4 linked regions of the Arabidopsis thaliana genome follow. The protein of the gene in region 1 purifies or fractionates together with the protein of each later gene. This does not show direct contact. Each region holds a gene or a part of one and is shown in the gene's direction. Other genes may lie near its edges. The genes, in order: PHB5, HAP6, AT1G16700 and AT4G32470.

What was found.
Region 2: the proteins of PHB5 (region 1) and HAP6 fractionate together in Arabidopsis thaliana (co-fractionation; one large-scale study listed by BioGRID). This does not show direct contact.
Region 3: the proteins of PHB5 (region 1) and AT1G16700 fractionate together in Arabidopsis thaliana (co-fractionation; one large-scale study listed by BioGRID). This does not show direct contact.
Region 4: the proteins of PHB5 (region 1) and AT4G32470 fractionate together in Arabidopsis thaliana (co-fractionation; one large-scale study listed by BioGRID). This does not show direct contact.

What each region holds. Positions count from the first base shown.
Region 1 is NC_003076.8:4,608,500-4,614,588, forward strand, and holds PHB5 (prohibitin 5), read left to right. Parts: upstream 1-4,602; coding exon 4,603-4,890; intron 4,891-5,062; coding exon 5,063-5,524; downstream 5,525-6,089. Other genes in the region: BET9 (bromodomain and extraterminal domain protein 9), read left to right, coding at 1-18; AT5G14280 (DNA-binding storekeeper-like protein), read left to right, coding at 624-848, 932-1,231, 1,367-1,747; AT5G14285 (DNA-binding storekeeper), read left to right, coding at 2,181-2,945; AT5G14290 (Mitochondrial ribosomal protein L37), read right to left, coding at 3,713-4,111.
Region 2 is NC_003075.7:11,275,290-11,285,969, forward strand, and holds HAP6 (ribophorin II (RPN2) family protein), read left to right. Parts: upstream 1-3,139; 5' UTR 3,140-3,249; intron 3,250-3,341; exon of another isoform or gene 3,342-3,354; 5' UTR 3,355-3,356; coding exon 3,357-3,502; intron 3,503-3,637; coding exon 3,638-3,830; intron 3,831-3,909; coding exon 3,910-3,999; intron 4,000-4,239; coding exon 4,240-4,302; intron 4,303-4,510; coding exon 4,511-4,580; intron 4,581-4,730; coding exon 4,731-4,795; intron 4,796-5,131; coding exon 5,132-5,186; intron 5,187-5,309; coding exon 5,310-5,431; intron 5,432-5,514; coding exon 5,515-5,630; intron 5,631-6,014; coding exon 6,015-6,084; intron 6,085-6,332; coding exon 6,333-6,437; intron 6,438-6,538; coding exon 6,539-6,628; intron 6,629-6,710; coding exon 6,711-6,859; intron 6,860-7,042; coding exon 7,043-7,154; intron 7,155-7,236; coding exon 7,237-7,320; intron 7,321-7,442; coding exon 7,443-7,523; intron 7,524-7,611; coding exon 7,612-7,836; intron 7,837-7,920; coding exon 7,921-8,043; and 4 more. Other genes in the region: EMB2271 (Transducin/WD40 repeat-like superfamily protein), read left to right, coding at 54-278, 343-687, 774-839, 920-997; AT4G21140 (copper ion-binding protein), read right to left, coding at 2,202-2,933; ZAC (Calcium-dependent ARF-type GTPase activating protein family), read left to right, coding at 9,405-9,444, 9,530-9,611, 9,766-9,841, 10,007-10,170, 10,254-10,404, 10,536-10,658.
Region 3 is NC_003070.9:5,706,325-5,714,081, forward strand, and holds AT1G16700 (Alpha-helical ferredoxin), read left to right. Parts: upstream 1-3,299; 5' UTR 3,300-3,537; intron 3,538-3,640; 5' UTR 3,641-3,687; coding exon 3,688-3,741; intron 3,742-4,156; coding exon 4,157-4,235; intron 4,236-4,335; coding exon 4,336-4,389; intron 4,390-4,499; coding exon 4,500-4,591; intron 4,592-4,671; coding exon 4,672-4,785; intron 4,786-4,883; coding exon 4,884-4,951; intron 4,952-5,062; coding exon 5,063-5,174; intron 5,175-5,274; coding exon 5,275-5,370; 3' UTR 5,371-5,719; downstream 5,720-7,757. Other genes in the region: AT1G16690 (Enhancer of polycomb-like transcription factor protein), read left to right, coding at 134-292, 382-514, 591-693, 1,055-1,178, 1,496-1,561, 1,686-1,724, 1,826-1,906, 2,009-2,056 and 4 more; AT1G16705 (p300/CBP acetyltransferase-related protein-like protein), read left to right, coding at 6,145-6,191, 6,553-6,667, 6,857-7,009, 7,124-7,198. UniProt on the Arabidopsis thaliana protein: Core subunit of the mitochondrial membrane respiratory chain NADH dehydrogenase (Complex I) that is believed to belong to the minimal assembly required for catalysis. Complex I functions in the transfer of electrons from NADH to the respiratory chain.
Region 4 is NC_003075.7:15,666,958-15,674,460, reverse strand, and holds AT4G32470 (Cytochrome bd ubiquinol oxidase, 14kDa subunit), read left to right. Parts: upstream 1-3,211; 5' UTR 3,212-3,365; coding exon 3,366-3,459; intron 3,460-3,570; coding exon 3,571-3,728; intron 3,729-4,342; coding exon 4,343-4,390; intron 4,391-4,440; coding exon of another isoform or gene 4,441-4,441; intron 4,442-4,751; coding exon 4,752-4,820; 3' UTR 4,821-5,242; downstream 5,243-7,503. UniProt on the Arabidopsis thaliana protein: Component of the ubiquinol-cytochrome c oxidoreductase, a multisubunit transmembrane complex that is part of the mitochondrial electron transport chain which drives oxidative phosphorylation.

The sequences.
Region 1 (6,089 bases):
GAGGGAGAGATTGATTGAGGTTGTATGCTGATCCCCAAAACCAAACAATAGATATATCTGAATTCTGAATCCAGAATCCATCCCAAAAAAAAACATATACTGTGAGCTTCAAGTAGAGAGGGCCGTTCAGACTGAGGATTGGATTTTATTGGTACTGAGAGTGGGAACGTAGTCATTCATGAGTTAAGTTTTGCTTGGAATGGTCGTGAGAAGTGGGTCATCGTCTTTTTCCCTTTGCGTTGTGTTGTGTGATGTTGGTACGGGTTATCTTCGTGCTTCTTGTCGAATTGAGTATATTGTATCAGTAAAGAATTTATAACTTAAAAAGAGCCTTATGTCAAATACGACGTCGTTTTGTATGGAAATGGATTTTTTACACCGCTGAAAAAATAAAAAGAAAACTCGGAATCTCTTCTTCTTCACTCAAGAAGTCGCTCTGAAACTTGGAAACCACATTTTTGTTCTCTCAAGAGTCTGTTTTTTTTTTCTGGCGTAAGTTTGAATTTCATGAAAAGTTGTTATCGCTAGTCGATTTAGTGTAATTGATATCCTGATTAAGGCTTTTCTCTGCATGCCAGCCAATCAGGCTAGAATTGTGAAGTATAAAAGTAAGCAAATTGACAATGGCGACTCCGACGGAGCTAGGTTTCTCTTCACCTGGTGGTGGTGGTGACGACTCTGACGATAACCCTCCACAGAAGCGTACTTCAAAACGTACTGCTTCCGAAACAGCAACAGAAGAAGAAACGAAGAAGAAGAAAAAGAAGAAGACGAAGCACAACACAAAAATGGCTTCTCCTCCGAGCAACCGGATCTGGAACGAAGAAGACGAGCTCTCTATCTTAAAGGTATTTCCTACTTTGTCTCATCTATCTACTGCATTTACTTGATTGCGTTGCGATTCCTGAAACGGCATATCTATAATTCTCAGGGATTGGTGGATTTTCGAGCTAAAACAGGACTCGAATCCAAAATTGATTGGGATGCGTTTTATTGTTACGTCAAAGGTTCCATTCATGTGAAAGTTTCCAAGTGCCAGCTTATGAGTAAGACCAGGAAGTTGAAGAAGAAGTTCCTTGATCAAATGGAGAAAATCGATCAAGGAAATGATCCACATTTTACTAGGTCTAGTGAAACTGAAGCTTTTGGATATTCCATGATGATTTGGCGTAAAATTGATGCTGAATACACTAATGGTGTTATGGATAAAGCACATCAAAGCGAGAGTGGAGTAAGTGACTAATAAGAGTTTGTCATTTGTTTTTGATACACAATCGTCAAATCTGTTACAATAAAACTTGCTTAATGAATTGTGGTTTAAGAATGATTTGGATATTGTTCAATTATATGGTTTGTTGAATCACAGGAGGAGGTGTTTGAGGAGGATGAGGAAGTGGCCTTAATTGACAAAGGGGCTGCGAAAAGTGGCAAGTCACCTCATGAAGCTGTTGTTGTTGTTGACAAAATAACTACGAAGAAGAACGGGACTGCTGGAAAAGAGAGTGATGATGATGATGATGATGTGTTGTGTGCTGTGCGGGATGCGTTTGAGACCACCATGATGTCGCAAGGATTAAGTGATTATCAAAAGAAGTTGCAGCTTGAGAAGCTGATGAACCTTGGAACTGGTAAAAGAAGAGAGTTGAGCAATGAATGGAAAGCACTATGTGTTGAGGAACTAAAATTGAATATCAACAAGCTTCGATTTTCCGCCAAGCTTGCAGAGGCAGCAAATGATGGTAAATAAAATGAAGAAACGCCATTTCAGCATTTGGTGTTTGTCGTTTCGGAATTGGCTTGAAAAATATAGTTTACTTCTTACTTCTTACTACTTATTAGCCATAGACCATTTACCTATAAATGTGGTTTATGTCTTTAGCTTTACTACAACTTCTGGTGATTGATCTACTTGGGAAAGTATTTGTACCATTTCACTTTGATTTTTACCATCACACCTCAGTGTCCTTCTTCATCATAAAAAGAGATGATATTATAAAGTTGTTTTGGTCAATATAATATATGATTAAATAGATATTTTGATACATGTGTCTATCAGTCTATCGTTTAAGCTAAAACTCAACGAGACGACAGACGATAAAAAGGGATTAAGTTTCTTCTGTGTAGATTATTCTTCTTCTTCTTCTTCTTCCATTGTCTCTTGGGTTGAGATTCCGATCTCAATGTCGATCAATATCGGAGAAATCTCAATTCCAGACCTTCCTATCTTCTTCTCCATGTTCTTAACCATCTACCTAATCGCTTACTTCATCGTCTTCCGCAATTGGAAACCACAAATCCGTCCCGAAGCTTCAAGCTGCCTGATCTCAATCTTCCATGGATCTCCAGCGGTTTTCCTCGCCACACGCGCAGTTTTCTCCTCCTCCGAACGCTCCTTCGCCTCCGCAAACACCGCCGCACAAAACACCGTCCTCGATTTCAGCGTCGCTTACTTCCTCACCGATCTCTTCCACTACATCGTCTTCAACCCTAACGACGTACTCTTCATCGGCCATCACGTAGCCACTCTATTCGTCTTCCTAACCTGCAGATTCCTCGTCTTCCACGGGGCTTGCGCCATCTTAGGCCTCCTGATTCTAGCTGAAGTAACAAGCGCGTGTCAGAACGCGTGGACGCTCGCCGGAGCAAGGAAGAATGATCCGGAATCACGATTAGCTGTGAAAGTGTACGATCTCTTGTCTCCTCCGTTTTACGCCTTCTACAGTATCGTTAGGGGTGTGTTGGGACCTTTGTTTTTCGGGAAAATGGTAGCGTTTTACGCTCGAGGTGGTGCTCATGGTGTGATACCTAATTGGTTGTGGATTTCTTGGGCAATTGTTGTTGGAATTGCTATTACTGTTAGTATACTTTGGATTTGGAATCTCTGGATAGAATTGTTTAGTGAAAGGAAAGCTAACAAAATCAGAGTAGACAAGAAAATTAGATAGTTTCTTCTTTCTTCTCTAGATCATTGTTTGATCTTCCTTTTCATGTACTATATATAATATATATACCATTATTATTCTCACCTTTTAGAATTCCTCTAAATGATGTATGTTTTGGAATAATAGATTTGCTTTTGGGTAAGCAGTATGTGCAAAATGCACTTTTAATTCAACTCTGTATTGTTCAGAAGTTCTTCTCTTAAGAGTTTCTTCCATACACATATGTCTTGTCTCTCTGCTACACTTGGTTGCTCACATCTTGATTCTTGATATTGATGAGAAACGTTTTCTTTATGAAGTGTGCCATTCTTGGTGAGTTATATTTGGCTTTATAACTCTCTTTGTTTACGGCCAACACCAAGTCCCCTGAAACCAGCAACTGGTAAGCCATATATTCTTTTACTTGGAAGAATCAAAAGTTAGCTGGGGAAGTGTAAGAAATTACGAAACACAGAGATTCATATCTTCGATCATTGGATTGTGAACTTTTCATGTGTTGAAGAGGATAGGAAGAGAATTGGGGACTAAACATACCATCCAAGCTGAGACATGGTGTTAGGCAGTCTGTTGTGGAAAGCTGAATGATATACCATTTGGCCAATGAATAGCATAAAATACACAAATTTAACCAATTTACTGAGAAGAGCATGGAATTAGAGAAAAATCTTTTAAGATCAAATAATCCCAAAGATAATAAGGAAAATGAAGGGATTGCTCAAACAAGGGGAATTATAAGGGACACATACAACAAGTCATTGTTGAATCTCATTTCAGTTCTTGGCCTTGATAGAATGGTTCTCCTTGATTCTAGCTCTGGTATCCAGCTTCACAAAACGTTTAAGATCATCAAAACTAAGAGTCTCAACGTTCTTCCTTCTAAGTTCGCTAAGCGCCGGTCGCTTATCAAGCAGATGCCATAAATAATCAGGGTGATCTGAATTAGGCAAGATCTTAGGGTCCAATCCATCTTTCAGAGTATTAGCACTAACAACCATACTCGATTTGATCTCTTTGCTCAAGTTCGATGCTTTTGGTGCATCATTACCTCCATCTCCCCTCCCAACCTTCTTCGCTTTACCAGCAGCTGTAGCAAATGTTCTTTGGCACACAAATCGCATTACATCTTTGGATCTAGAAATGGAATCCCCAAACATTCGAATAAGGTTCATATCAACAACCTTATACCTGCAAATTCACAAAATAAAACTAAATAAATCTACACAATCCTATAATGTTCGTTCTCGGATTTAGATCAAGATTCGAGTTTTGTCGAAGATTTTTGGGTGAGGGTTTAACTCGCAAGATAGAGATAGGTAGCGAGTGCATCGCGGGAACTGGTAAAACTTATTAAAAAGTAACGGACCGGAAAATTAAAAGACCCGTCTAAAAGCCCACCAATAGTAATGCATACAAGTAACACGTGGCAGGTATGGTTGACCGAGTGAGTAACAGAACGTGAGAAAACCGACCCGCTAAATAAGAACCCGCCCAATATAATAAGCTTTCTCCTTAACTTCTGCCTCACGCAAAAAAAAAAACTTCCTATAAAACCTCATCTCCTGCGTTCTCTAACTACTTCTCACCTATCTGACAAGAAAAGAAACCCTAAACAACATAAAAAGAAACCTAAAATCCATACAGGAGACATTCAAAGCCAATCATGCCTTGGTCAAAGTTCACAAAGGTAGCTCTAGGTCTAGGAGCTGCCATAGCGGCTGTGAGATCAACAATGTTCACCGTTGATGGTGGCCAGAGAGCTGTTATGTTCCACCGATTCGAAGGGATTCTAGAAGAACCAGTAGGAGAAGGGACACATCGTAAGATTCCGTGGGTGCAAAAGCCGTATATCTTCGACATTCGGACCAAACCCTACAAAATCAATACCGACTCTGGAACTAAGGATCTTCAGATGGTCAACCTCACACTTCGTGTTATGTTTCGCCCTGATGTAAGTTCCCGCGAATATCCAAAAAATTTCACTAATAAGATTTTGTGATATATATGTAAAATAATATATAACTGTTTTCCGTGGGTTCGTGTTAGGTTTCGCGCCTCTCGTATATATACCAAAACTTAGGTCTCGACTATGGTGAAAAGGTCCTACCAGCGATCGGGACGAGGTGGTTAAAGCGGTGGTGGCTCAGTTCAACGCTGACGAGCTCTTAACAGAACGTCCACAGGTCTCAGCTCTTATACGCGAAACGTTGATCAAGCGAGCTAAGGAGTTCAACATTGTTCTCGATGACGTGTCGATCACTGGTCTCTCATACGGTAAAGAGTTCTCACTTGCGGTGGAGCGGAAGCAGGTGGCACAGCAAGAAGCTGAGCGGTCCAAGTTCGTAGTGGCAAAGGCTGATCAGGAGAGACGAGCGGCTGTGATTAGAGCAGAAGGAGAGAGCGAGGCGGCTCGGGTTATATCGAAAGCGACTGCAGGGGCTGGGATGGGGTTGATCAAGCTCAGAAGGGTCGAGGCGGCTAGAGAGGTTGCGATTACGCTCTCTAATTCTCCCAATGTCGTCTATTTGCCAAGTGGTGGGAATATGTTGTTTGCAATGAACGGTCCAAGCAAAGTTGTTGCTTGAATTAGTTGCAAAAATATGGTGTTCAATGGTTATATTGATTTGTGTGTTTTAAGATTTTCATTTTTTTATATAGTTTCCTAGTATTGGATCACCCTAGTATACTCCAGTTGAGACTGTTCTTGCGAGTCTGAGACTCGCACACATGACACATGACACATCTACTGTTAAGTCGACATTGACATCAAATTAAACAATCACTGTGCCAATCAAACTTATGCATAGACCTAGAGATAATTAAGTAGTCCAAGTTCAAAGGTTGATCTAACCTGGATCAGTGCCCTTGGTAGCTATGGCACATACTTCCTCACTAGGGAAAATGGGAGCTGATTATCCAGCAGCTTTCGATTAGATATCAACAAACAAAATGCAAATTAGGTTATCTTAGAAAGAAAAAAAAACAAGCTATTCATCGGATCACAAGTCACAAGTGTCACCTCGAAAGAAACTTGGGCCCATCTATATTATCTTATGGGCCTTATCGACCGATTCAAATATTGCAAATTAGTGTCGTTAACCTTTTTTGAAAACATACGGCCATTAGTGACAATTTAATTAATATTCTACA
Region 2 (10,680 bases), on another chromosome or scaffold:
TGTTCATTGTGTCTTGCTCTCAGCCTCTTTTATTAGATATGTATCTATTGCAGGCTTTTACAGGTCACTGTGGCATTGTTTCTAGTCTATGCTTTAGAGAAGGAACTGCAGAACTCTTTTCTGGTTCATATGATGGAACATTAAGTATATGGAATGCAGAACATAGAACATATATAGAATCATGTTTTGGACACCAGTCTGAACTTCTATCCATTGATGCTCTAGGGAGGGAGCGTGTTCTCAGTGTTGGACGCGATAGAACAATGCAGTTATATAAGGTAGGTATTGTGGTCTGTTTGATTTGTTTGTCTATATCTAAGCACGATTTTTGTTTCCTATCAGGTTCCCGAGTCTACTCGGTTGATCTATCGAGCTTCCGAATCAAATTTTGAGTGCTGCTGTTTTGTTAATAGTGATGAGTTTTTGTCCGGATCAGATAATGGAAGTATTGCACTTTGGTCCATTTTGAAAAAGAAACCAGTGTTTATCGTTAACAATGCTCACCACGTGATAGCTGATCATGATTCTGTTAACCATAACTGTACACCAGCATGTTCTTGGGTCAGTTCAGTTGCTGTCTGTAGAGGTAGCGAGCTTGCTGCATCGGGAGCTGGTAATGGTTGTGTGCGTTTATGGGGTGTTGAAAGTGGATCTAGTGCTATACAACCTTTATACGAGCTTCCACTTGTAAGTTTGTTTTCCTAGGTCGGCTCTTATTGCTATTTGTGTGTTGCATCTGTTACTGACATCCAATGCTTATGACCTTTTTGCAGCCTGGGTTTGTGAACTCTTTAGCTTTTGCAAAATCTGGTCGGTTTCTGATCGCTGGTGTTGGACAGGTACACATTTTCCTTTAACCAGACATATATATTCGTCTCTGTGAATGCCAATCTTAACTGTAACTTTGGGTATATGGCAGGAACCGCGGCTCGGAAGATGGGGTTGCTTAAAATCTGCGCAGAACGGTGTTGCAATACATCCCTTAAGGCTTTCATGAAGGGATCTCAATTTAGATTGCAACTTATTTTAGAACTTCAGTTATGTAGAGGTACTACAGCTATATTTTTGACATGGAAGGGAAGAAAGAGAACATATAGAGGCTCTAATTAAACAAAATCGGAAAGTCCCATTCCTGCTTTATGCTTAAAAGTCTTGTTTTATTGATCAAACAACATATACAATCTGATCTTTACGCATAGAGGAACTTTGTTTTAGTGGTATTCAAAAGATCCTAAAGAATACTAGAATTGATAAAAATTTGTGGTTTAAGAACTCAGATACACAAACTTGATTATTTTACCAGAGATTTGGACTCAATAGGTCTACAAAAATAGCTAGTGAACTAAGGAAACATAGAAGCCAAGAGGTCCCTAGATGAAGTCTAATGACTACGATTCTCTCTAGACTAGCTACCTCAGCTTTCAAACTATGATGATCCTTGGAGAATCGTGGTCTTTGTAGCTTTAGGACTCTTGCCATTGCACTCTACTGGACCGGGTAACAAGATGCAGAAAATGATATGGAGAGCTTGAAGAAAATACCCAGAAACTATGCATTTGAATGAAGAAGCACAAGCAGATGCAGGACATCCTTTCCTACATAACATTCTGCTGAACTTCCAACACAAAGCTCACAGAGGACAAACCTCAACTCCCATATTGATTAAACAGTTGTAATCTTGGTGCAGAACTGTAGATTCCAAGATAGTCTGCAGTTCTTATCTAGGAATATGGTTTTGGTAAGGATAAAAAGTTATACCAAGTTTGAGCTGATCATGACCCAGTGGCCTTCCTAAAGGTTAGAATATATGAAGAGACAAATCCTAAATGTATGAGTGTACAGTGTTCATACACATAATACTGAAAAATGAAGATTTGAAAGAAGTATGCAAACAGGCAAACACGATCAAGGAAAGAGATACAAAAGAGGTTTAACAAGATTCCATTTACATCCTAGACAACTTCACCTCTCAGAAGGCCGATATGAAACAATATAAAGTAGAAAAAGATTAAACTTTCAAGCTTCAACTAATATTCTATCATATAGTAGCAACTGCCAGTGACCATTTTATTTCAAGTAGATCACAAAAATAAAGACAAATGTCTCAAAGTTATATCCATTGATCGAAATCCAATCAACACAACTAATAAAACAAGAGAAAACCAATGACGCAAAGACAAATTCCTCTAACCTTAACAAGATCATCTCAACTTCTCTTTACCAGAGCTCTTCCTAGCCGCAGCATTCATAATCCTCTCCAAATACCCTTCAATAGGTGGAGTAAGCGTAGCCGTACCTCGACTCACCGGAAACGGAGTCAAATCACGCACTAAAGCCGCCTTCTTCAAATTCTCCGGCAATGCCTCAACCGCAGCGTTCCTCATCTTCATCAAACTAATCTCCGCTACACGTCTCGCTCTATGCTCTCTCATAAGCACTCTACTATACTCTTTCGCAAGTCTAATCCCATCCTCCACTGTAACCTTATACTTTGGTAACTCATCTTCCGTAAAAATCCCTAACGAAATGTAATCCAATCCTGGAGTCCCAATCCTCATCGGCGCAGTAGTAACTCCCATCGTAAAGGATCCACCTTTCTTCTGAAAATCAATCTCTTTTTGCCTCGCTTTACTGATTAGCCCTAGCTTCTCTCGTCTCGCTTCTCGCTCTCTTTCCTTAGGTCTCAGGTAACGAACAGGACAAGGAGCGTTTATGCATTGATCTGAGATTCTTCCTTTTCCCTTATCCACCTCATCACCACCTCTGCCACCGCCGTTTCCACCGCCTTTTTTGATTGTGAGTTTGTTGCGTTTCAATGATTGGCCTGTCTTCAGCTTCGATTTTCCTTTGGGGGTTCCACTAGCGTAACATTTCTGGAGAAGATTGTAACTCACTGAGTCAATTATAGGTTTTGGTCTCGCGAATCTGATCATTTTCAGATTCTGATTTCCTCAGAGCTCTCTCTGTTTGAAATGAAAATGGTGATTGAAGTTGATCTGCAAGGTTTAGGGTTTCAAGGTACGCCGTCGTTTCATGAAGTGTAATTTAAGTTCAAATCGAGGGTAAATCGGTAATATCAGGTAGTGTCATCAAACTCACACTCATTTTTTAGCCTTCTCTCTGGTTCGTCGTCTGGTTCAAAAGCTATAGATCGATCCTAGGCTTACCTCAAACCTCAGTCTCCGTTGACTACTGAGACTCGTCGACCTCTGATCCGCTTCTTCGACTATACGGATCTACTTCCGATCTGTAAGAAGCTTAAATCTTCGGTTGATTTTGGAATCCATCCGTCGTAGATGTGTAATTGTATTGATTTGGATGAGTTTATCTGTTTTTTTGAGTTTTCTTATGCAGTGATGATGGCCGGAGGTAACGTACGGTTTCTGGTTTTGATACTCGCCGTAGCAATTTGCGGTGCTGCTTCTGTTTTCCAGCCGATCTCAGACTCTCACCGATCTGCGGCTCTGGATGTCTTCGTACCAGTCGATGGATCATACAAAAGGTTGGTTTCTCTATCTTAAGTCGGCATTGCTTTGATGTAGGGGTTTTAACCACATTTCACCGATTACATATTGGTTGCTCGTTAATGTTCATGAATGGTTTTTGTACGGACTAATCTGATTTTTATTACTATCAGCTTGGAGGAGGCATATGAAGCATTAAAGACTTTGGAGATTCTTGGAATTGATAAAAAGTCTGATCTTAGCTCAAAGACTTGTGAGAATGTGGTTAAAGTTCTTCAGTCGTCTTCTTCTACTCTTAAGGATGCATTTTATGCGTTAAACGTTAATGGGATTCTAAAATGTAAAATTGGTGAAGCTGGTCCTAAGGTAAACAATTGTCTCCTCTCAGTATCATAATTTTAACTATTAAGCGGCTAAAATAACCTTATCTTTTCCTCTTTTGAAGGACATTGTTTCTCAACTTCAAGCTGGTGTTAAAGATGCGAAGCTATTGCTTGATTTCTATTATTCTGTCAGAGGCTTGGTGCTGGCTAAGGTAAATACGAGTTAAAACTTTTGGTGGACATCTTGAGTGAGATTGACTACACCCTTTTTCCATAGAGTATTTCTAGGAGAGTTTTCTTAGTTTTTCGTGCATTATGTTGAAGTATGAAAATGTTTTGGCAGAAGGTACCTGTGATCGTGATTATTTTATTTTATTCAACTCCATAGCTTTGGCTTCCTGACTTTTCTTTTTCCTGGCTTCAAGTTTGACCTCACTGTTCCATGAATGCAGGAGCAATTTCCTGGAACTCATATAAGTCTTGGAGATGCCGAAGCCATTTTCCGTTCCATCAAGGTTTGAACTTGTTTAGCTGACCTTCAATTTTGTTGTTGTTGAACTATCAGATGTGACATTCATACACTGTCTTTTTGGACTATCAATTATAGACTCTGGTAGAAGTATATATATATTTTCGATATGTTACCAAAACTCAGTTACTATATTAATACTACTTAGATTGTTTTCCGGGTATTATTTGGCTGATATAGTGCATTTGTATCAGTCTCTTAGCCAGAGTGATGGAAGATGGCGCTACAGCTCCAACAATCCCGAATCAAGCACTTTTGCTGCTGGTTAGTAGTACATATTGGATTAACCCTTACCTAACGTTAATGATGAGCCTTTTAGATTATGTATCCCTTCCTTTCTTGCTTCAGCTTGTTCACTTCTTTTGCTCTTTGTTATTTCACTCATTCTTCTCAACATGCGATTTTTTTTCTCAGGCTTAGCCTATGAAACGCTTGCTGGAGTGATTTCATTAGCACCTTCAGAGTTTGATCCATCTTTGGTAAGTGAGATGTTTAATCCACTATACTTCTGATTTCCTGAGAATATATTTTGATGAGATATCACTACGATATGTTGGTTTAGTGATGATCTACTTTTGCTTCTGGAATCTCTAAGTAACTAAAATAAAGAGTTTTGTTTTGATAATTATAAATTCCAAATCTTAGCTACAGGGAATTGTGATTTGATAATCACAAAGAAAGATTCGTGTTTTGATAATTATGCATGTCCACCTGACTTCTCATTTGGTTATTCTGGTGGTTTCTTTTTCATTTTATCTGGTAGTTTATTAATCTTGGTTATGTAATGATCGTCATTCATGTTTGTCCTCTGTTAGATCCAGTCGGTGAAGACGGGTATCCTGAAGCTTTCTGACAGTATCCAAAAATATGGTATGCAGTAAATTACTTGCTATCCTATGTATTGCATGTTATATTCTCTTCACTCACTTCATAGTTTTTGCCAGCTTGGGTTTTGCATATGTGGGCTTTGAATTATTATTTTTGGTCTTTTAGATGATGGGACATTTTATTTTGATGAGAAGTCTGTTGATGCAAGTCAAGGCCCGATCTCAACAACTGCATCAGTTATTAGAGGGCTCACGTCATTTGCAGCTTCAGAATCCACAGGATTGAACGTATGTAATACCCATGTTTTCATGTATCCTATTCTGACAAATGTGTTGATAGTTGACCTTCGCATTCCCATTATCTCATGCAGCTTCCAGGTGATAAGATAGTTGGTCTGGCCAAATTCTTTCTGGGTGTTGGAATTCCTGGTGATGCCAAGGACTTCTTCAACCAAATAGATGCACTAGCTTGTTTGGAAGACAACAAGTAATACTACTTTCATGCCCCTTTGTGCATTTTCTTTGTGCATTTTCTTATTAGTTTATTTCAGTACACATCTTAGAATCATTTCAGTAACCTTGAATTGAGTGGTGTGAAAGACATAAGAGTTACAAGGACTTACTGTTACTTCCATTCTTTTGTGTTAAAGTAAAGTTGCTTATGAAAGAGAAAAACTGTTTCTCTTTACATTGTTAGAATTTTGAACAAAATGATTACCGAAGAAATGATATCTGTAGGGAAAGAGTAGAAGTTTAAAACTTTGAACACTTGTGAAATTTCAACCACTTGCTCATTTATTATGGTCTAGCTGAAACTTTATCATTCTATGGGAACAATAATTTGCTCTATGGTCATTCTCTATCATTTCAGGTTTTCTGTTCCACTCATCTTGTCTCTTCCATCCACTGTCATTTCATTGACAAAGAAAGAGCCTCTGAAGGTACCCATTCATAAGCTTGCATCAAGATTTGACTTCTAGTAGTGAAAGTCTTAACTTTGGACTTTCTGGCTATAACGGTTGGATGTTGGATTCTAGCTGGTATTTGGTTTAGAGATTGCTCAGGCTCATAGCATTGCATCTTTTTTGTAGAGATCTCTTATCTATTTGATAATGACTCATTTTAGTTGACCCTTCATCCATTACATTTTTTCTTATTTTAGATTTTTTTTCTCTTTATCTGGAACTAGGTTAAAGTTAGCACTGTACTGGGTTCGAAGGCACCAGCTCTTAGTGTGAAGCTTACACAAGCTCTAAGTTCTAAGTCAGTGGATTCATCTGTAATTAATAACCAGGTAAATAATGTATCTCTTACTGTTTGAGCTTGCAATAGAAATGTTCCTTATTCTCTGCATTAGGCCGGTTTACATTTTTCCATTACATTTTTGGGGTACAGGAGCTTAAGTTTGACGCTGACAGTGCAACGTACTTCCTGGACTCCTTTCCCAAGAACTTTGACATTGGAAAATATACTTTTGTATTTAAGGTATTGCACTTCTTTGGTTTTACTACACCCAAGACTTCATATAAATGTATGATGACAACATGATAAGCTTCGTTTTCTGCAGATTGTGCTGGATGAATCAGCACATGAGAAAGTATACATAACTGAAGCTCAAACAAAAGTGCCTATAGCTGCCACAGGAGCTATTAGCATTGAAAATGCAGAAATTGCTGTACTTGACAGTGACATTGGAAGCGTTGAATCTCAGAAAAAGTATGTCACCTGTATTGTTGATGAACAACTTCCTTTTTTGCTTATTTTGATTGATTGCTAATTGCTTAACCATTTTTCTTAGGAAACTTGTACCATTATTGCTTACAATATATATTTCAAACTTTTTGTTGTTGTGCTTAGTGTCTTCTTTTTGTTTATTGGTTCTCTCTGTAACATTTGTAGGCTAGATTTAACTAAAGATGGAGCGGTATCATTATCAGCAAACCACCTTCAAAAGCTACGCCTGTCATTCCAGTTAACTACTCCACTTGGCAATGCGTTTAAGCCACACCAGGTTTGTTCATTCTTGATTTTTCGCTTCATCAATGGTTATATTCTGTTCTATTCACTTTCTTGACTTGCTTACTTCCATGCAGGCATTTTTCAAGCTGAAACATGAGTCACAGGTCGAGCATATCTTTCTCGTGAAAACTTCTGGAAAGAAGTCTGAATTAGTTCTAGTTAAGTTCCTTCAACTTCATTTAAAATTGCTTTTGCAAAAAAAGTTTAATGATCAAGTTTGGTGAAATTAATGACGTCCTAAATACAATATTAATGGTTAATGTTATTTTCTTACCTTCAGGATTTTCTTGGATTGGTTGAGAAGCTCTACTACCTCTCTGGTAAATATGAGATACAGCTAACCATTGGAGATGCTTCTATGGTAAGTACTTTACTTTCAGGTCCAATGCAGTTGATGATTTATGTCTTCTGAGATTTGAACAGTGTTATTTTCCTTTCTCTTTTCCCAGGAGAACTCTTTACTGAGTAATATTGGTCACATTGAACTAGACCTACCAGAGCGTCCAGAGAAGGCGACTCGTCCTCCTCTACAGTCTACTGAGCCTTACTCAAGATATGGGCCAAAAGCTGAAATATCACACATATTCAGGATTCCTGAAAAGCTTCCAGCAAAGCAGCTCTCACTAGTTTTCTTGGGTGTTATCGTTCTCCCATTCATCGGTTTCCTGATTGGGGTCAGTCTCCCTTTGCTTGTAAATAGTATCCGAAAAACATCATCACATTTCTTTCACTACTCATATATATTTTTTATGTTTCAGCTTACGCGGTTGGGAGTGAACATAAAGAGCTTCCCATCGTCGACTGGATCTGCAATATCCGCTTTACTTTTCCACTGCGGAATTGGAGCTGTTTTGCTTCTATATGTGCTATTCTGGTTGAAGGCAAGTTTTCATAACCGATTATTGTTTGTTTGATCTACAGTTGAATCATTGCATCAAATCACAATTTCTTTGTTTTGTTTGTTTGCATTCTACAGTTGAATCATTGCATCAAATCACAATTTCTTTGTTTTGTTTGTTTGCATTCTACAGTTGGATCTATTCACGACTCTCAAGGCACTTTCTTTGTTGGGAGTGTTTCTGTTGTTCGTGGGACACAGAACACTATCTCAACTTGCATCAGCATCAAACAAGTTGAAATCTGCTTGAAGAAGAAGAACTCACTATGAAGGATCTTTTTTTGGTTTATGCGTATTTTCAGTTTTGTAGTATTGCTTATAGATTATGGTGATAGACAAATTCAAAAGAAGTTCAGAGTTTACATACTCTCTCAGTTTAGTCTTAAAAAGTAATCAAGAGTCTCTTTCCTTAGCTTTTTTGTTGAACCAAATCAACTAAGATAATGATTAGCTCATGATTAGATCACATGAGTTTCTTAATTATTCACACTTTATGAGTGTTTGTGGAAAGTTAAAAGGTCTAACAAAATTTTGAAATAGGCTGGCCATAAAATCGAAATGAAATTTTATATATAAAATCAAACCGAATTTCATTCTAGTCAAAATAGAAATAAATGCTGATAAAAATGTAGAAATTACTTTGGGTAGAAACGAGTCAACGAAGGAAATGTATTTGGTATTTGACCCTTAACATGGCAATGGCAACGTTACAACTTTTTTTTTTTTTTTTTTTTCTTGCATCGTTACAACTTCACAAAACTTTACAGTTGATTGGAAAATTAAATTTTAGAAGAAAAAGCACGTAGTTGTCTTTTCAGACAATTATTTGTTCATCTTGAATTTGTGTCCCAAGAACATATCTCTCTCTCTCTCTCTCCTCACCTTGGTAAGAACGTCCAATCCAATCTATAAATCTCCTTGATGGAATTTCCGTACATATTACTTGTTCCTTTCTGATCTCTTCTTCATCGGTTTTATGTTTCATCGAGTTTGAATATTTCTTTGTAAGTCTTTTCCTGTCGGTTATGTTTTCGTCGTTGAAATGGTTTCAGGAATTAACAAAGATCAGATTTTTGGCCTTTTTTTCTCTTCTAAATTTGAATTTCGATTTTGGGAACACGAATCGATGATGCTGATGATCTACAAATGGGTATTGAAAACGATTTGTTCATGGTTATTCTGCGGTCGTGGTTTCCCCAAAAAAGTTTGGTTTTTAAATTTGCAAAGCAGAGTTTGATCTCTCATTTAACAATACCATGTTCTAACCATATTGTGCGTGATGGGTGATTTCTTTGGTCTGTGAAGGATTCTCTGTTTGATGATTGCTAGTTCTTTAGAAGAGCAATGAGTTATTCTGGAGCCGGACTCGGAAAGCCTGGCTCAGGTAAACCATTTATCTTAGCAAAGATTAGTCTTTGTATGAGAGATATATAGGCTGTGACTGATTTATCCACCTTGTTGGTTCACAGGTAAAAGGAGAATAAGGGATCTTTTAACTCAATCTGATAACCGAGTCTGCGCTGATTGTGGCGCTCCAGATCCTAAGTGGGCGTAAGTTTTGCCATTTTTATGTTTTGTTCCAGTAAGCATTTTATGCTTCTCTAAGCAGTTTGATTGAATGTTATGATCTTGTTTCCCTACTTGTGCATTTTTTGGTTTGTTTCGTTTTTCGTAAACCCATAAAACTCTTGGTTGCTTATTACAGGTCAGCTAATATTGGAGTGTTTATATGCTTAAAATGTTGTGGTGTCCACAGAAGCCTTGGCAGTCATATCTCAAAGGTTGTGACTCTTTGCTTCTCTTTCTAGTTTTGGTTTATCTTTGGTGAAAATTTGCCATTGGATTCCATTAAGATGGCTTACAAATAATATTGTGGATTTGTTATCTCGCTCCACTTCTTCTTACAGAATCTTTTGCAAGTGTATTTATAGTTTTCAACTTTCCAGGTCTTATCCGTGACATTGGATGAATGGTCAGATGAAGAAGTCGATTCGATGATTGAAATTGGAGGAAATGCCTCTGCAAATTCAATTTACGAGGCGTTTATTCCTGAAGGTAGCTCTAAGCCTGGACCTGATGCTAGTCATGACCAGCGTATGAGGTTCATTAGGTAGGTTACAAAAACCCGATAAGATAGTGTATATACCTTCATTAATAGTTTGGTGAAATATTCATCTCAAATCTTTGTTTCAGGTCGAAATATGAGCACCAAGAGTTTCTGAAACCAAGCTTGCGGATCACATCCGTGAGGGGCTCTAGTACAAAGACTCCAGCATTTCTTTCATCGAGTCTATCTAAAAAGATTGTTGATAGCTTTCGCACTAATTCATCATCGCAACAGCCGGTAAAGCTTCTTTATTTTTCATCTTTTTTTTACCATCTAACTGTTAGAATCAAGCAAGTAGAGCAAACTCTTTGAACTTGGATACTGCTAAGTCCTCTGATTCATGGTGTTTTAAATTTAAACAATGACAGCAACTTGAAGGCATGGTTGAGTTTATTGGATTGTTGAAGGTGACTATTAAAAAGGGTACCAATATGGCCATCCGAGATATGATGTCAAGTGATCCCTATGTTGTGTTGACTCTAGGACAACAGGTAATTATAGTGAATACTTTTG
Region 3 (7,757 bases), on another chromosome or scaffold:
CGATTTCTGTTGTTTCTTTCCATTTGCAGATTTTACTTTCTTCCTGTCTCATAGGAGCAAAGCGTTGATGAGGTCTTTCGTACTCAAAATAGCTATATAGATATTGTTTAGTAGAGAGGAGGAAGATAGTGAAATGAGTAGGCTATCTTTTCGACCCCGTCCACTGGACATACACAAGAAGCTTCCAATTTTAAAGTCTTTTAAAGACTTTGAAGACGAAGATAATCCTTCTTCCATTACTAGAAACTCTCAGTTGCTGCGTATATCTGCCGTAGAGGTTGTTGACAATGAGGTGAAGTTTTTTTTTTTTTTCTCGGTGTATCGGTTTGGATGTGAAGTTGTAGAGTGATGATTAAAAGTTTCTTGTATTCACATTATCAGGTGCAGCCTCCAGTGCCTAGTAAGAAACTGATTTCGGAAATCCCAACACCTCAGTATCTTGTTGTTGATACATATGAAAGAGACTACTCTAGGACTTTTAATCAGCCTGCTTCATATTTACGCGCTAGAGGAGGTAAACCTTTAATACCTGAAATGCTCTTCAACATTTGTTATCTTTTCAACATGGGAAATGAAAATCTGTTTTGCAGCTCGGGCTGAGCTTGGAGAATTTGTGGAGTATGATCTTGACAATGACGATGATGACTGGCTTTATGAGTATAATAAGGAGACAATGATTCTCTCACCTGAAATGTAAAGTTTCCTACCTCTTATTCAGATTTTGTTAATTGTTTGTTTATAACATGCTTTCCATATTTTTAACCATTGAGATAGTTTATATTATCCACATTTCTATGAGCTTTGTTGTGTGGTAGATGGATCTATTAGCTCTAGAATCTAAATTTTTCTTCTGTCTCTCCTCTGGTGCCTTCAATTTATTTTGGATTTTGCCAATAGTGCAAAAACTATGTGATCAAGTGGAAACTGAAAGAAGAATTGGTTCTATACTTATATCCGATATTCCCCTAACATTGAGTTGAGATAGTGCTCAACTTTTCTCTTGTTTCAAAACAAAAACCTGCTACCCGTAATCATGCTTAATTACTTGATACAGGCTTGAGATCGTTATATTTAAACTAGAGGTCTTGGATCATAAGGCGCGGGAAAGAGCTGGAGTTATTACTCCTACCCTTGGTTTGCCAGTTCCAGTGCTTTTGCAGCCTGATGCTGCTGGTGAGGTATACACTTATTTTCTTTTGTTTATCTAATTTTGATTTATATTTGGTTATGGAACTCAAAAGGAGGAATAAAATGATGATGGTTGATTGGCTAGTTCTCATCATAGTGAACCATCTTTTAACGGGGACAGTTTTCCAAAGGATGTGATTATACTTTTCCTCACTGCCTAAAACTGTAGCAGGAGCCAGGAGCATAGATCTAGTAATAGTGATTATATTGCCTCCTCTAGAGGAATGTGTTCTCCTGGGGTTATTACTCAGAGGCAGAGCAGGACATTTACATTGTTCTTATTGTGCTATTTCCATTTTTTTTACAGGCGCTGAAATATTTGTCCATCAAATATGGAGTTTTCCACGCTATATACAGTTATTGGAAAAATAAGGTTTGATATAGTTGTCGTATAGTTTGATGATAATTGATTTTTTTTTTTTTAATGAAAAGTTGTTAATGGTTCTTTGGGCATAGGCTTAAAACATTAAGTAACTTCGACTTTTGTATTCTTTTAGCGTGAAATATGGCAGAAGCCTATCTTGCGGCGTTTACAGGTATATCATTTGGACTGGTCTCAATCTTACATGTGGAAGAAATGAATTTATTCTGAAATGTACTGAAAATTAGCTACTCTTGTGTTTTTTGTTTGGAACAGCCTCCACCACCGGTCAATGATACCAATCCGTACAATGTGTTTAGGCCACGGGAGAAAGCTCATAGACTACACGCAAGAAGAGTAGGCTGTCTTGTTGTCTGTGGTTTATCAATTTCCTTATCTTACATGTGTGAGTATGGAAAATGCACCATAACTTACTAACAATAGTTGACCTCACTTCAGATGCAGCAGAGAGAAAACAATGCGCAGTCATTTGAGAAGCTGCGACAGGTAAGGGAAGACCTGAATCTGTGTTTAACTTCTTAAAATAATTCCTGGATTCTCAAACGTTCTTCTCTTCTGTTCTGGGATATGTTATTATTAGGTCAGGCGCAATCTTGACCAAGCAAAGACCATTCTAGAAGCTCTTATTAAGGTAATCTAAATGACATCTATATTTTGTGACTTGAATGTAATTTTATTGATATCTTAAGAGATACCTGCAGACTCCATAGGTATTAACTTGATTAAAAACATGTTATCTTTATAGAGAGAAGAGAAAAAGAGGGATTTCATGGCGAGTGAGGTTAGCCTTCAGAGAATCCAACTGAAATATAAGGTAGTCCTCTACAACCTGCATCGAGTGTTCTTTTGTTACCAGAAAGAGTTGTGCATTTCGATCTCCTCTGATTTTTTTTGTGGGGTTTTGATATGTTTGCAGAATGAAACCGAACTTTTGGAAGATAGTTTGGCTCTGGCTGGGTTTCCACTCTCTACAGCTTACAGATTTGGCTCAAGCGAAGATGAATTCATGGACTCCGATGACCCGACCACCACCCAAACATGTACAAGGCCTTCCTTTACCCCTCATCGTCGTTTCACCGACTCAAACCTCGCTCGAGCTCAAGCCGGGAGCATAAAGCAAGAGGCGAGAAGACTTGGATGGCTCCACAAACTGGTAATTCTTCAGAACCTCTGTATTTGAAACATTTGAGACTATTAGGTTACTACATTCTGGTGACAAGATAAAAAAGAGAGAATTACGTTCACTGTTTATGTTGTTTCTGTGTAGAATCCTAATGAGCCAGTTATGCTGTTCACGAAAGCATTGGTCCCCGATAAACTGGCTGCTGCGGGAATCATCCCTCCATCAGATGCAAGAAGTGGAAGAGCTCGGTTTCAAGGAAGAATGGGTAGAGGCGGTCGGATTGTATTTGATAGATGGAATCCTCTAAACCAAGCCCACATTAACTGTGGCAACACTCTCTACATAGCACCATAACATCTCAACTAGTTTTCTTCTTCTTCATTGTAAAGAGTTATCCCCGTTAGTTCCTCCCCAGTGGTGGTGAAGATTGTCACCAAAACACTTTGTATCTCCTCTAAATTTTGTGTAGTCTTTGGTTTTCCCGGTTTATTGATCAATCTCGGCTACTTTGTGAACTTTAGGTCCGGTTAGTGACCATTGATCAGGTATTAACTTTTTTCAGCAATGGTCTAGTTTGGTCCACGTCTTGAGAACCTGGATCCTGAAATGTGTGAAACTTGGAAGGAATTGACTGTCATACCAAATATAACCGGTTTGATTGCCCGGTTATGAGCTGAGTAAGTAGTTAACCAGAAGGGTCAATTTGTAAATTAAGAGACATCTGATCGAATTTTGTTCCGACGACCGTGAATCACCAGCAAAGGATTCGTGTCAATGTTCTTGTGAGATCGAACTTTCTCTGGGTTCGTGCAGAAGCTTTGCTTTTTTGAGTATCGCGTTTAAGGTTCGGATGGAATTTTAGGCTTTTCGTTGGTCATTCTCTTGTTCAATGCTTCTTTTGCTTGATTAAGCTTTTCAGCTAATCGGATTTTCTTCTCTCACATCAGGCACATCGAAGAAGAGAGACCCTAATTTGATATTTTGAGTTCTATCGATGGCTTCGCTACTAGCTCGCAGGTCGTTCAGTGCTCTCCGAGCTCGACATCTCGTAAGAATCTCGTAGGCTCTTCCATTTTATATCGCTTATATTCCTAGAAATTTGGAATTGCTGCTAAGTTTTTTGAAATCACTAGTTGGTATTGTCTGCCCCGGCCGGCTCTAGGCATGTGCAAGTGGTGCTGCTATACATGTTTTTGTCTTTTTTTTTCCTGGGTATTGTTCCTCTATGCATCTCTTTGTATTGCGTTGGTACATCAATCGTGAAGCTTCATTTTTCCTTTAGATCATATACTCTTCCTTGAAGAGAGAATGTATCGCCTAAATGTTGTTATCTCAATCTCTGCAAATATAAATACTTTAACTGAGAGCGTCGTGGTAGTTAACTTTTACTTTCAATAGCTCTTTTGGTGGCTATGCTATGGAATTCTTCTCGCATTTAACATCTACCTTGTCTTTGTTGATAGGCTTTTTCAGGGCAAGGTTTACAGGGATCTCATCTCTGTGGGCTACAGTCCCGTGCTATATCTTATGGAAGCAACAAAGGTATAAATTTTGTTGCTTCCATTTGGGTTCTCTTGGTTAATTTAGGCTATGACTTTTCAGGAATATAGGTTACTAATCCTTTGCCTCTGGTAATATGTAGATGATGAAGAAGCTGAGCAGCTTGCTAAAGAGATCTCCAAGGACTGGAGTACTGGTAAGCTATTTGATCCAGACACTTTTCAACCTTTCTATTCTCTTAGCATTCCTTCCTGATTACTTCCTTCTGCGAGTCTTAGCGATTCCTGATGTTTCTTACTTTTACAGTCTTTGAACGGAGCATGAACACCCTATTTCTCACTGAAATGGTCAGGGGTTTGTCACTGACCCTCAAGTACTTCTTTGATCCAAAAGTTACAGTGAGTGGCTGTCTCCCTTGACTCTAGTAATTAGGCTGAAAGAAAAATATTCTGATTCTCAAGTTTTATCTTTTGTGCAGATCAATTATCCTTTTGAGAAGGGTCCATTGAGCCCTCGTTTCCGTGGTGAACACGCTCTTCGAAGGTATCCAACTGGGGAAGAACGCTGCATTGCCTGCAAACTCTGCGAAGCTGTGAGTTTTTGAAGTCTATGCTACTCGAGAATTCATACCACAGCACAATATTGACATAAAGTGTGATTTTTCATGGATACTGGTCTTTTGCTCATCAGGTATGTCCAGCTCAAGCAATCACAATAGAGGCAGAGGAGCGGGAAGATGGAAGCCGCAGAACCACTAGGTCACCCTCTAAGTTCCCGTTTATTAACCATATATATATTATTTAATACTGTCTTGTCTCTATGGTTCTTCTATATATTTCGTAGTGTAGTGATTGTTCGGAGCTGTACAGGTATGATATCGACATGACGAAATGCATCTATTGTGGTTTCTGCCAAGAAGCTTGCCCTGTTGATGCAATCGTGGAAGGACCAAACTTTGAGTTTGCAACCGAGACACATGAGGTCTGTATAAACAATTCAGAAAGACATAAGATTGCCCATGATCTTAAAGTTAGATGTGTATTATTCGATAAATGACATTCTGATTCTTTTTGGTGTGCAGGAACTTCTGTATGACAAAGAGAAGCTTCTTGAGAATGGAGATAGGTGGGAGACAGAGATTGCAGAGAATCTGAGGTCGGAGAGCCTCTACCGCTGAATATTGATCCGAAAATGCCTTTTGCCTAATTCTTAAGGAAACGTTTTCGTTTGCTTCTGTTACAAATAAAGATGCTTCAGCCTTTGCACTGTTATTGCTATCTGTATTTCTTGAGTTCATACCGATGGCAAAATCAAATTTGGCTTTGTTTCCGGTTTGAGCTGGACCGTGCGGTAAATGGATTATGATATGATTCAATGGTGTTGTTACTCTCAGTGTCGGTCGGTCAAGTGTCTAACAAAAAATTGCTAATATCTGAAGAGAACATTAATGATGTAAAATACAGAGAAATACAAGGGTAAAATGGTAGTTTAATAGACTGGCATGAACATGCATAATTGCATATCTAGTAAAAACCTCTGATTGGCAGAAACTCCAGCTCAGGAACTTACTCTATTTGGAATTTCGTCTTAAATTCGCTTTCTCATCTTCTTTTACTTCTCGGTTTCAAGATCTCTTTCAGAGATTTCTCATTTTACTTATCCTCCTGGCTTGCGTGAGTTTAGACGTGCGACATTGTTTCTTCATCGTAATCATAGGTTACGTTTTCTTGATCTCGTAAGGAAGAATCTTCCTCACTAGGCTCTGATCTTTGCGGTGGAAGATTGCTTCTTTCTTTGTGTATCAAATTTTAAAGTTGGATTGAAGTCCTAGGTTTTATCATCTGAGGTTTAGATGTATCTTCTTTCTTTGCTTATGCTTGGTTTTACTACTGATTATGATTATGCTGGTTAATTGGTGTTGCTTTAGGGATTTCACGTTACACTTGCTCCCATGGACAATGATGTTTTCCAGATTCGCCGGTCCATGCGAGACGCTATGTAAGCCTTCAATTTTTCACATTCACTCGTTCCTCTTGCACTCTTTTCCTTTTCTCTGTTAGTTGCTGCTGTACTACGGATTGAGTTAATGTGTCTGGGAAAGTGGGAATGATCTAACTTATTACTGCTTTTTGGCTCTGTGATCATGTATTTCTGCTTTGTTTCTTAAGAAACAATATCATCTATTAGTGTTTCTACTACTGAAATGTTACTTATTTGGATTCCAGTCTTGTCACATTGGTGTTCATAGTTGTTTTCCTCTCTGCGTGTATATCTCCGAACCACACTAGAGGGTTTCTTGATGGGTTGTTACCTCATTTGAGGAAACGTTTCAAATTAACTGATCATCCAATCTTTCCAGCTTCGTCCAGTTAGAGAAGCGAAACCCACTTCCGAATGATGATGCATCAAAGGGGAAGCATTTAGATGCTGCTAAACGCTTAGAGGAAGGACTTTTTAAAATGGCTATGACAAAGGTACATCAATTATATTTACTTGATTAGTTATAAGCATTTAGGATTTGATTTACTGAGAATTTCTAAGTTCTAACTAAACAAGACTGGTTGATGCCTTCTGACATGTTGTCACTGAATCCAGCTTGTTTGCTATATGTCCTCCCTTATAAATATTTTCGTTTCTGACACTTTTAACTTCAAAACTCACAGGAGGAATACTTGAACCCGTCAACTCTTGAATCTCGCTTGACAAGCTTAATAAAAGGCAGGCAATTGAATAAGTACAAGCACCAACATGCTGATTCTTCTACGCTTGGAACAACCATAACACCTACTCCAGGAGTCTCTGCTGAACCCACAATGGTACATTACATACATCGAATTATTCACGAGCTTTAATTAAGAGGCGTATAATTCGAAATGTAATATTATAAACATTCTGAACTTTGTGATGTTCCAAATTTTTTTGGTTTGGAGCAGGATAATGAGAACAGAGATCAGTGCGAGACAGAGATTGCTGAGAATCTGAAGTCAGTGAGCCTTGAGCCATGAAGATTATCAGAAAGTTCTTTTTACGACTTGTTTGGAAACGTTTTCATTGCTTATGTTACAAGGAAAAGATGATAACATATACAATACTAACGCTTCTGCCTTCTCCATTGCTACTGTATTGCTAATTGTAAGATCTAAAGTAGGAATGGTAAAACCGGTTATGATTTGTTTCCGGTTAGACTTGGAACATGTATGAATTTGAATGGTTTATTATTAGTTACTCTTGGTAATCGGTACAGAAAAAAAAGTAGTTGCGAAAGTAAACAGAGCAAAAACTACAAGGGTGTGAAGATTTAAATTACTGGAACATTTGATCGGACGGATAGGAGCGCATGTATCTCCGACACTTCTCCTTGGCTGTTGGATTGTCGACCTTGGTTCCCCCAATTAACTTTGACAGAGGTTCCTTGATGATTCGTATTCAGACATAAGTAACATAAGGTAAGTGTTATTTAATGTGTCTTTTGTTACTTACAAAATCAAAACCAAAAATCCCTAAATAGCCAAAAAAAATAAATCAAAATCCCCAAATCGAAGAATTCAGACTTCTCTGATTTCG
Region 4 (7,503 bases), on another chromosome or scaffold:
ATGATTTATTTCAGAAATCGACGTTTGGTAATTAGTATGAGAGTCAAATAAATTTGTGTGTAATTAAATTAGGTCAGTGCTGTTCAAAGCTGTCCATGTACCCATATATGTTTGTGGCAAGGATATGCTATTATAATGTTCTTGATCTTTTTTTTAAAAAATGTTCTTGATACATCAATTACAAACTAAATTAGTGCCTTAGTGGAGTGCATATTGGACACGTTAACTAACCAATCTGATATATAATGCTCATCTTTCGCGCTAATATACACTACAGAATTTTGATGGCAATGGAAAATATATACTACAAAAAAAATTAAAGTTTCAACTAATTTATTTACATAAATTAAAGTTTATCAATTAACGGACAGAAGAAAACAAAAATTATTTGAAAAAAAAGTTTAAAACTGAATTAAATAGAGTTTGTTGTTGTAGACAACAACAACAACAAAAAAAAAAAAAAAACTTGTTGTAGACAACAATACCATCAATTATTTTTCTTTCTCTACGACAGTTACAATAGTGAAAACCCATCTTTAATTGCAGGAGATTTGTTTTTTTTAGAAGACGGACTCATTCGACAAGTTTCCATACGTTTGTATATATAATTATACACATGATTTTCCCAGTATAAGATATGTTAAACTCTGTTCAGCTATATTTTATATCACCCTTTTCGCCTTTAATTATTGTTGTATATATCTTAAAAACTTTTAGGCTAACTGCTGAGTCATATTCAACTTACTCCAACAGATTTGGTTAAATATCATGCTGCTAATCGGTATATTTCTCTAATTCAAATGTATGATCAATTATATTGTGACAGTCATCAGTTATATTATTAGAGAGGGCTAGAGCCTGGCTAGAAGAGCATCCGAAGAGTCAAAAAGAAAGAAATGTTAATGGAAAGATTAGTTATAATCTTACTATTTTTAACATGTATATGTTTTTTTTTTTTGATAAAAGACAAGCAGTTGAAATTGAATAATACATAAACGTTAATTTATCAAAACTTTTGAAAAGGATCGTTCTGATTACAGATATGTTAGAACACTTGACCAAATTAAGATACTACAATTTCTTGTATTGATCAATTGTGATTTTGACAAGAAAATTGAAATGATAGGGTCTTTAGAAGCTTTGGGGATAGCAAAGGAAAATTATAAACAAACACCACATTTCGCCTAGGAATAGCAGAGAATTCCACATTATTTATGTAGTTTTTAAACATTTAGTTCTTGAATTTAAGAGCTTTATTCAGGAAGAAGAGTGGGATAAGAAGGAATCAATATGGAATACTTTTTTTTCATAAATTCGTTTGTCTCCCAGCATTTAGACTGATGGGATATTCCCATCCTAAAAATAAGAATCTAAAACATTGTATCCTAAATATCTATCTGTAGACACTTTATTGTGTTTTTATAAAGCAACAATAATCAAATCAAAGTTCACAATCAATCTAATGTCCAAGCAAAAACAATTAAAGTGCTACTAAAGTTCCATTTCTTAATGATCTACAAAGTGTTGTTTATCTAATAAATTAAGGCAATTTGCATTCATCATATAAATTAAATACAACTTTTCAGTGTAATATATATGGACCTCACTATCAAACACTTATGAAATATTGGAATGTTGTGTAAAAGTGTAAAAATCAAATCTTAAATAAAGATAACTACTATCAATATGACAACAATTTGTGACAGTACAAAATTTAAACTAAACTATAATTTCCATTTTAAAAAAAAAATTGAGACGGCCAAAAAGGGCCAATTAAAAAGAAGGCAAACGTGATATTAATTAGTTACTGAATAATTAACTGCCATTGAGGCCAAAACCATGTGCTATGAAAGCTGTTTATCAGCGAATTATAACATTTTGTGTAAAAGAAAGACCAAGTCTACACAATTTTTAAAACATTTCAGTCCAGTAAAGTTAATCATCAGTTCATCACTCCAAATTTTATAACTTATATACGCATTTGCTTGAATAATTCTGCCATACAATATAATTTTATGTGATTTGATAAATATATATCTAATTAAATTAACGTGAGCTTAGCAGAGAGAGTATTATGTGCTAAGCTAAAACCGGTTTATACTGTTCAAAACATCAAATATTGAGACAAGCTCATATAGTCACTATACATGCCCACATGCATTAACCACTCAGTCAGACGAGTTATATATGGTTGTCTTTTGAAACAAACAAAACAAACTTTTACAATTCATAGTTGTGCGTTATTATCGGAACACAATTATTTGGAAAACAAAAATTATGAACTCATGAAGCTAAATGGGACTGAACTTTAGGCCTACTTCATATTTTACGATAAGGATGATGACGACGACTTCGTGGCTAAAAAATAGCAATTAGGATATGGGTCGTGATCAAAAATCCCACCAAACTAAAAATATATCAAACTAAATCAAGTACCTACTACATGCATGATTATCTCTTTAACCTAACCTTAATTAAAGTTAGTTTAGATATTGACAAGAAACTGTTTAAAATGCTTTGCTAAGAAAGTGGGAACACAAGATTTGAGAGTATTTTTGTTAAAGTCACAACATTTTAACCTTAAATTACACTTGCAACTTGAGACGATACTTAATCACTTTTTAAGTTAATTTAATCATAAGCAGACAAAAACATGCCTTTCAACTCTCAAGTAGTGGTGTTAGCCGGAATCCAATTCGTCTAGAGTAAAGAATGAAGATACAATTATAATTGTTTAACTTACCTCATCTATATAACAAGATTATCATTTCTCATTCCAGCTATTAAATTAAACCCTCTTTTTTCACAACTGGTATATCAATTTTGTGATTAATCTAGTTACCATTCATACAACTAGCTTTGCCTATACATAACATTCACATGAGTTTAGTGGATTTTACAACTTAAATTTCCCCCATTTTTTTTTTTTAAGTAGGATCGAATAAGAGTTAAATGCATGTATTTGTGAAACACGAAACAAAAGGGTCACTAAAAATTTGCACCAGCCGGGAATCGAACCCGGGTCTGTACCGTGGCAGGGTACTATTCTACCACTAGACCACTGGTGCTTCTTGTGAATTATTAAGACAAGTTAGTTTATAATCTAAATACAAGTTATCACTGGGCCTTAAATGACGCTACAGCTGAGCGACTTAAGGCCCAAATATTACTACGTGAGTACGTGACCTATATATGTCAAAAATACGTGAAGCTTAGATGGGCCACTTAAGGCCCAAATAAATACGTGAAGCAGAGCTTATGTGATTATTTCCTCTCTCAGGTCAGGAGTTGTTGTAGACACAGCAGCTTGGTCTCTTTCATTGGCACAAAGAGAGAAAATCTGAAATTGAGAGAGACAGAGAAAAATGGCGTCGCTTCTGAAAGCATTCATCGATCCAAAGAAGAACTTCCTCGCTCGTATGCATATGAAAGCCATATCTACTCGCCTTCGCAGATACGGTCAGATCTCTCTCGATCCATAACCCTAATTTCTGAAATCCGAGTTTGTTGTCAATGTTCATGAGTGAATCTGAATCTGCTTTGTTTTGTTTGGTTTGAATGATTAATTAGGTCTGAGGTACGATGATCTGTACGATCAGTATTACAGTATGGACATCAAAGAGGCTATGAACAGATTGCCCAGGGAGGTCGTTGATGCTCGTAACCAGCGTCTCAAGCGTGCCATGGACCTCTCCATGAAGCACGAGTACCTCCCCAAGGATCTTCAGGTATAATTCTTCATTCTCTATTTCTTTGGATGAAATTGATGTTGTTAGAATCAATCTAGAATATGGATAGGTAACCCAGGCATTTGAGCTCGAATATTGATTAAATGCTAGAAAAATGAAGAAATTAAGATATCAAATTGAAATCGAAACTAGTTCATCAGAAGATATTACTTTACTTTGGGGATTTTGTGATTGTGGAGCTTAGATGTATATAAACTAGTTTATGCATAGTCTATGCTTGTCTCTTGCGTTACTGTGTTTGTTCTGCTGTTGCTTGAGATTATTGGAAATTTTGGATTGATGAAAGGTTGAATCCTTGTTACATCTTTTTTTTTCCCTTTCAATAAAGTAAAGTGGTGTTTGCATGTATACTATTGTATTACTCTATGGTTTAGACTTTTCGATTTTTGTTACTTTCTTATTTGATGTTGTTATTAGATAAGAATGTAACTGTTATTATTGCTGGCTTAATTAAGCTATCAAAAGTTCACAACTTTAAAAGTATAAGGCTCTTTTAGTTTTCCAAAATTGATTAAGCTATCAGAAATTGCAACTGTTAGGTAGTGTTGTGGATATTGTAACTTTCTTATTTGATGTGGTTATTTCATATACAGGCGGTGCAGACCCCATTCCGTGGCTATCTTCAGGACATGCTTGCTCTTGTAAGTCTCCTTTTTGATGAACTAACATAGAAATCATTATCTGCGTCTAGGGTAGGAACAATCAAACTGCAATTCAGTGTCATAAAAGCGTACTATTCCTTCTTGAAGTAAAGTTTCCTCTTTCTTTTGGGCCTATCTGCTTCCCTGCATTGACAATGATGAAAACTTTGATGAGATGCATGTCTTTTCCTTCGTTATTTGAAGCAATATGTTTTTTTCAGATCTTCAATTTCCCTATTTCATGAAGTATTGCATCATAAAGAAAATGTTTGCAATGTTTGAAAAGTTCTGAGTGTAACTTTTCTGTAAGGATAGCCCATCATCGTTGTCATCATCCCTGTCTTTATGTTGTGATTTGCAGGTTGAGAGGGAAAGCAAGGAACGAGAGGCCTTGGGAGCTCTACCACTATACCAGCGCACACTCCCATAAGCATTCCTTTCCCCTTTTCTTGTGGTCAACGCTGCTTCTCTGCATAAATCTGCAACATTGATATTTTGGTGCTCACTTTCTGAACAGAGCTATTTACTATTTGAAAAAGCATAAATCTGTGATAGTTTTCCTAAGTGGATATGTTGCTAGTTACATTTTTATCGCTTTTGCTGGCTTGAATAAAATCGACGACGCAACTCAAGTCTGTCTCGATGATTTATCATTTTCGAGGTCTGGTTTGCTCTTTTATTCTTATAATTGGTCTCTCAGAATCGTTTAAGTTTTATGCATTGAAATGTAGAAGTGCCATGATTCCATATTCTTGGGAATTTGGTCGAGCCATGTTGATGTATCCTTTGCATTGACAGTTTCATGTGAGAAATTAATGGGAGAGAATTATGAGTTTATTAGGCACCGATAAAGCCAGTCGTTGAACTGTCCAAGTCTATGGTATGGGACTATGGGTGTGTGTTTTCTTTTTGTCTCTTAGTTCACTGAGTTAAAAAGATAGGAAGGAATCATCCGTACTATTATTATATGATCGGCCTTGGCAACCGAAAATTCTTACGTTGAGTTCAAACATAATCGACGAATACACAAAAAATCTACTTGTGGAGGAGATAAACCGGCAAGTGTAAGAAGATGGAAAGAGATCCTTTGGGCATATCGGGGAAATGAAACTTGGATTTCAAAAACTAACTTATTATAACTTATCGGACAGGGTGTAAAATCATTCATTCATAAGATAGAGAGACCCATGTTATGTATATAAATATTTCATATCCAGAAAAGAGCATTTGCATGTGAGTGTGTAGACTGAAACTCAAGCCTTTAATAGATTCAGGCCAGATCTATTCTTTTAGTTACCCATCTTCCTCTCTGTCCCCTCTCTCTCTCATCCTTTTCTTTTGCTCACTTTCGTTTAGCCAACCACAAATGTTAGAAATATGGATTTGAATTTAGAGATGAGATGGTAACAAGAAGATTAGATGAGTTAAGACTCGACACAAATTCAAGTATATTCCCTAAAATGATGTTTTTGGTTCGACTTCTAGGCTAGTTTTGAGGGCTTTACAAACCATCATATGAAACTATGAACATTGTGGCAACCAAATGGAGAATCAATAGATAAACTACGAAAGTAAGAAGATGTGTTGTAGACAAAAACATGCGATCTTGAATGGTCCATGGAAGTAAAAATTAAGGTTGTACACAAGGTGGATACTCATTACTGACAGAGACAGATGTGACATATAAAAAGGGTCAGTCTTAGTTTCATATTATTGGTTTTAAGATTGGTGTATGTTTTGGATATTTACTTTTTTTTTTGGGGGGCTGTCTTTTGTTTTTGCTAAGAAAGTTATAATGAAGGTTTAGGTGTTACAATAAGACCTAGAGTAAGTGTTCCTTGGCAAAAAAGAATAAAAAAAACAAGGAATCATTTGGATTCTACACAATCTCAGAGAAAAGAAATAAAGATTAGGATTCTTTAGCTGAGCCAAAGTGACATAAGATTCTTGAACTTCTTTCGCTTCCGCCTAACAGTAATGGAGTTTTTGATAAGCCGGTCTACTTCCTTGAAGATTGTAAGCGGCATCACTACGATGTTGTTATGGATGAGGTTGTTCCTTTGTCGCCAAACACTGTAAACCAGGGCATGGACAAGCAGCAATCGAAGGGTCTGCGGAGAAGCACGATTCTTTACCCTAGCTAGACCAAAGTATTAGATCCTGCCATTCACCAAAGACTTGTGGGGACAAGTGCAGACGTTGCAAGGCAAGAGTCCATATCGTTCTCGCAAAGGAGCAGTGGAGAAAAAGATGATCGCGTGTCTCCTCCATTCATACACAAAGGCAGCAGTCAGTGTTAATCTGCATTCCCCAAGACGCAAGTCTTGATCTTTTTGGGGCTGTCTTGTCCTTTTCTTCTATGTCTTCTCCGTTATTTCGCTCCCATGCAAACAATTTCTTATCATCACTCTTTTTCTATCAACATTCTCTCTACTCTTTCCTGAGTAAACTATTTACAATTTTCTTTCTTTTTGTTACCATATAAATAAATTTCCCATACAAGTAAATTAATTAGTTCTGAATAACAGATGTGAGATTGTAATTTATAACAATTGGCTCTCAAACTTGATAGGTAGTTAAATAATTGTAGTATAATAAATAGTTGATGTTTTAAACATATATAAAAATAATCTAAAACAACTATGATGTATATGACATTGCCGTTGCCCGTTGGCACCACAAGTCAAGGTTGTGATTTCATAAGTTACATTAAATAGTTTGGCTACAGATTTGAATTCTACTAAACTAAACATTAGTAATTTTGCAAATCAAGAAAGACGATATATAGTCAAATGTCGTTTAGTGGTCCACTTTCCCATGCATGTATGGCTAAATCTTTTTAATAGTAATGTGGATCCAGGGTTAACATCAAGCCAAAGTTACATGGCTGTGTGGCCCCGGTTTTATGGCCGAAAATCATAAATTTAGGTTTAACCACCAAGTCAAAACACACAGAGTTATACGTCCATCTTCATACAATTAAAATCTTTTAACTGAACCTAACTTTATTCAGACTACTTAACTCATACATGACACCTATAAACATTTTGTGTTTACTAATATTTTTCCTTTTCCAAATTTTATCCAAAAAAACAATTAATTTCTTCTTAGTA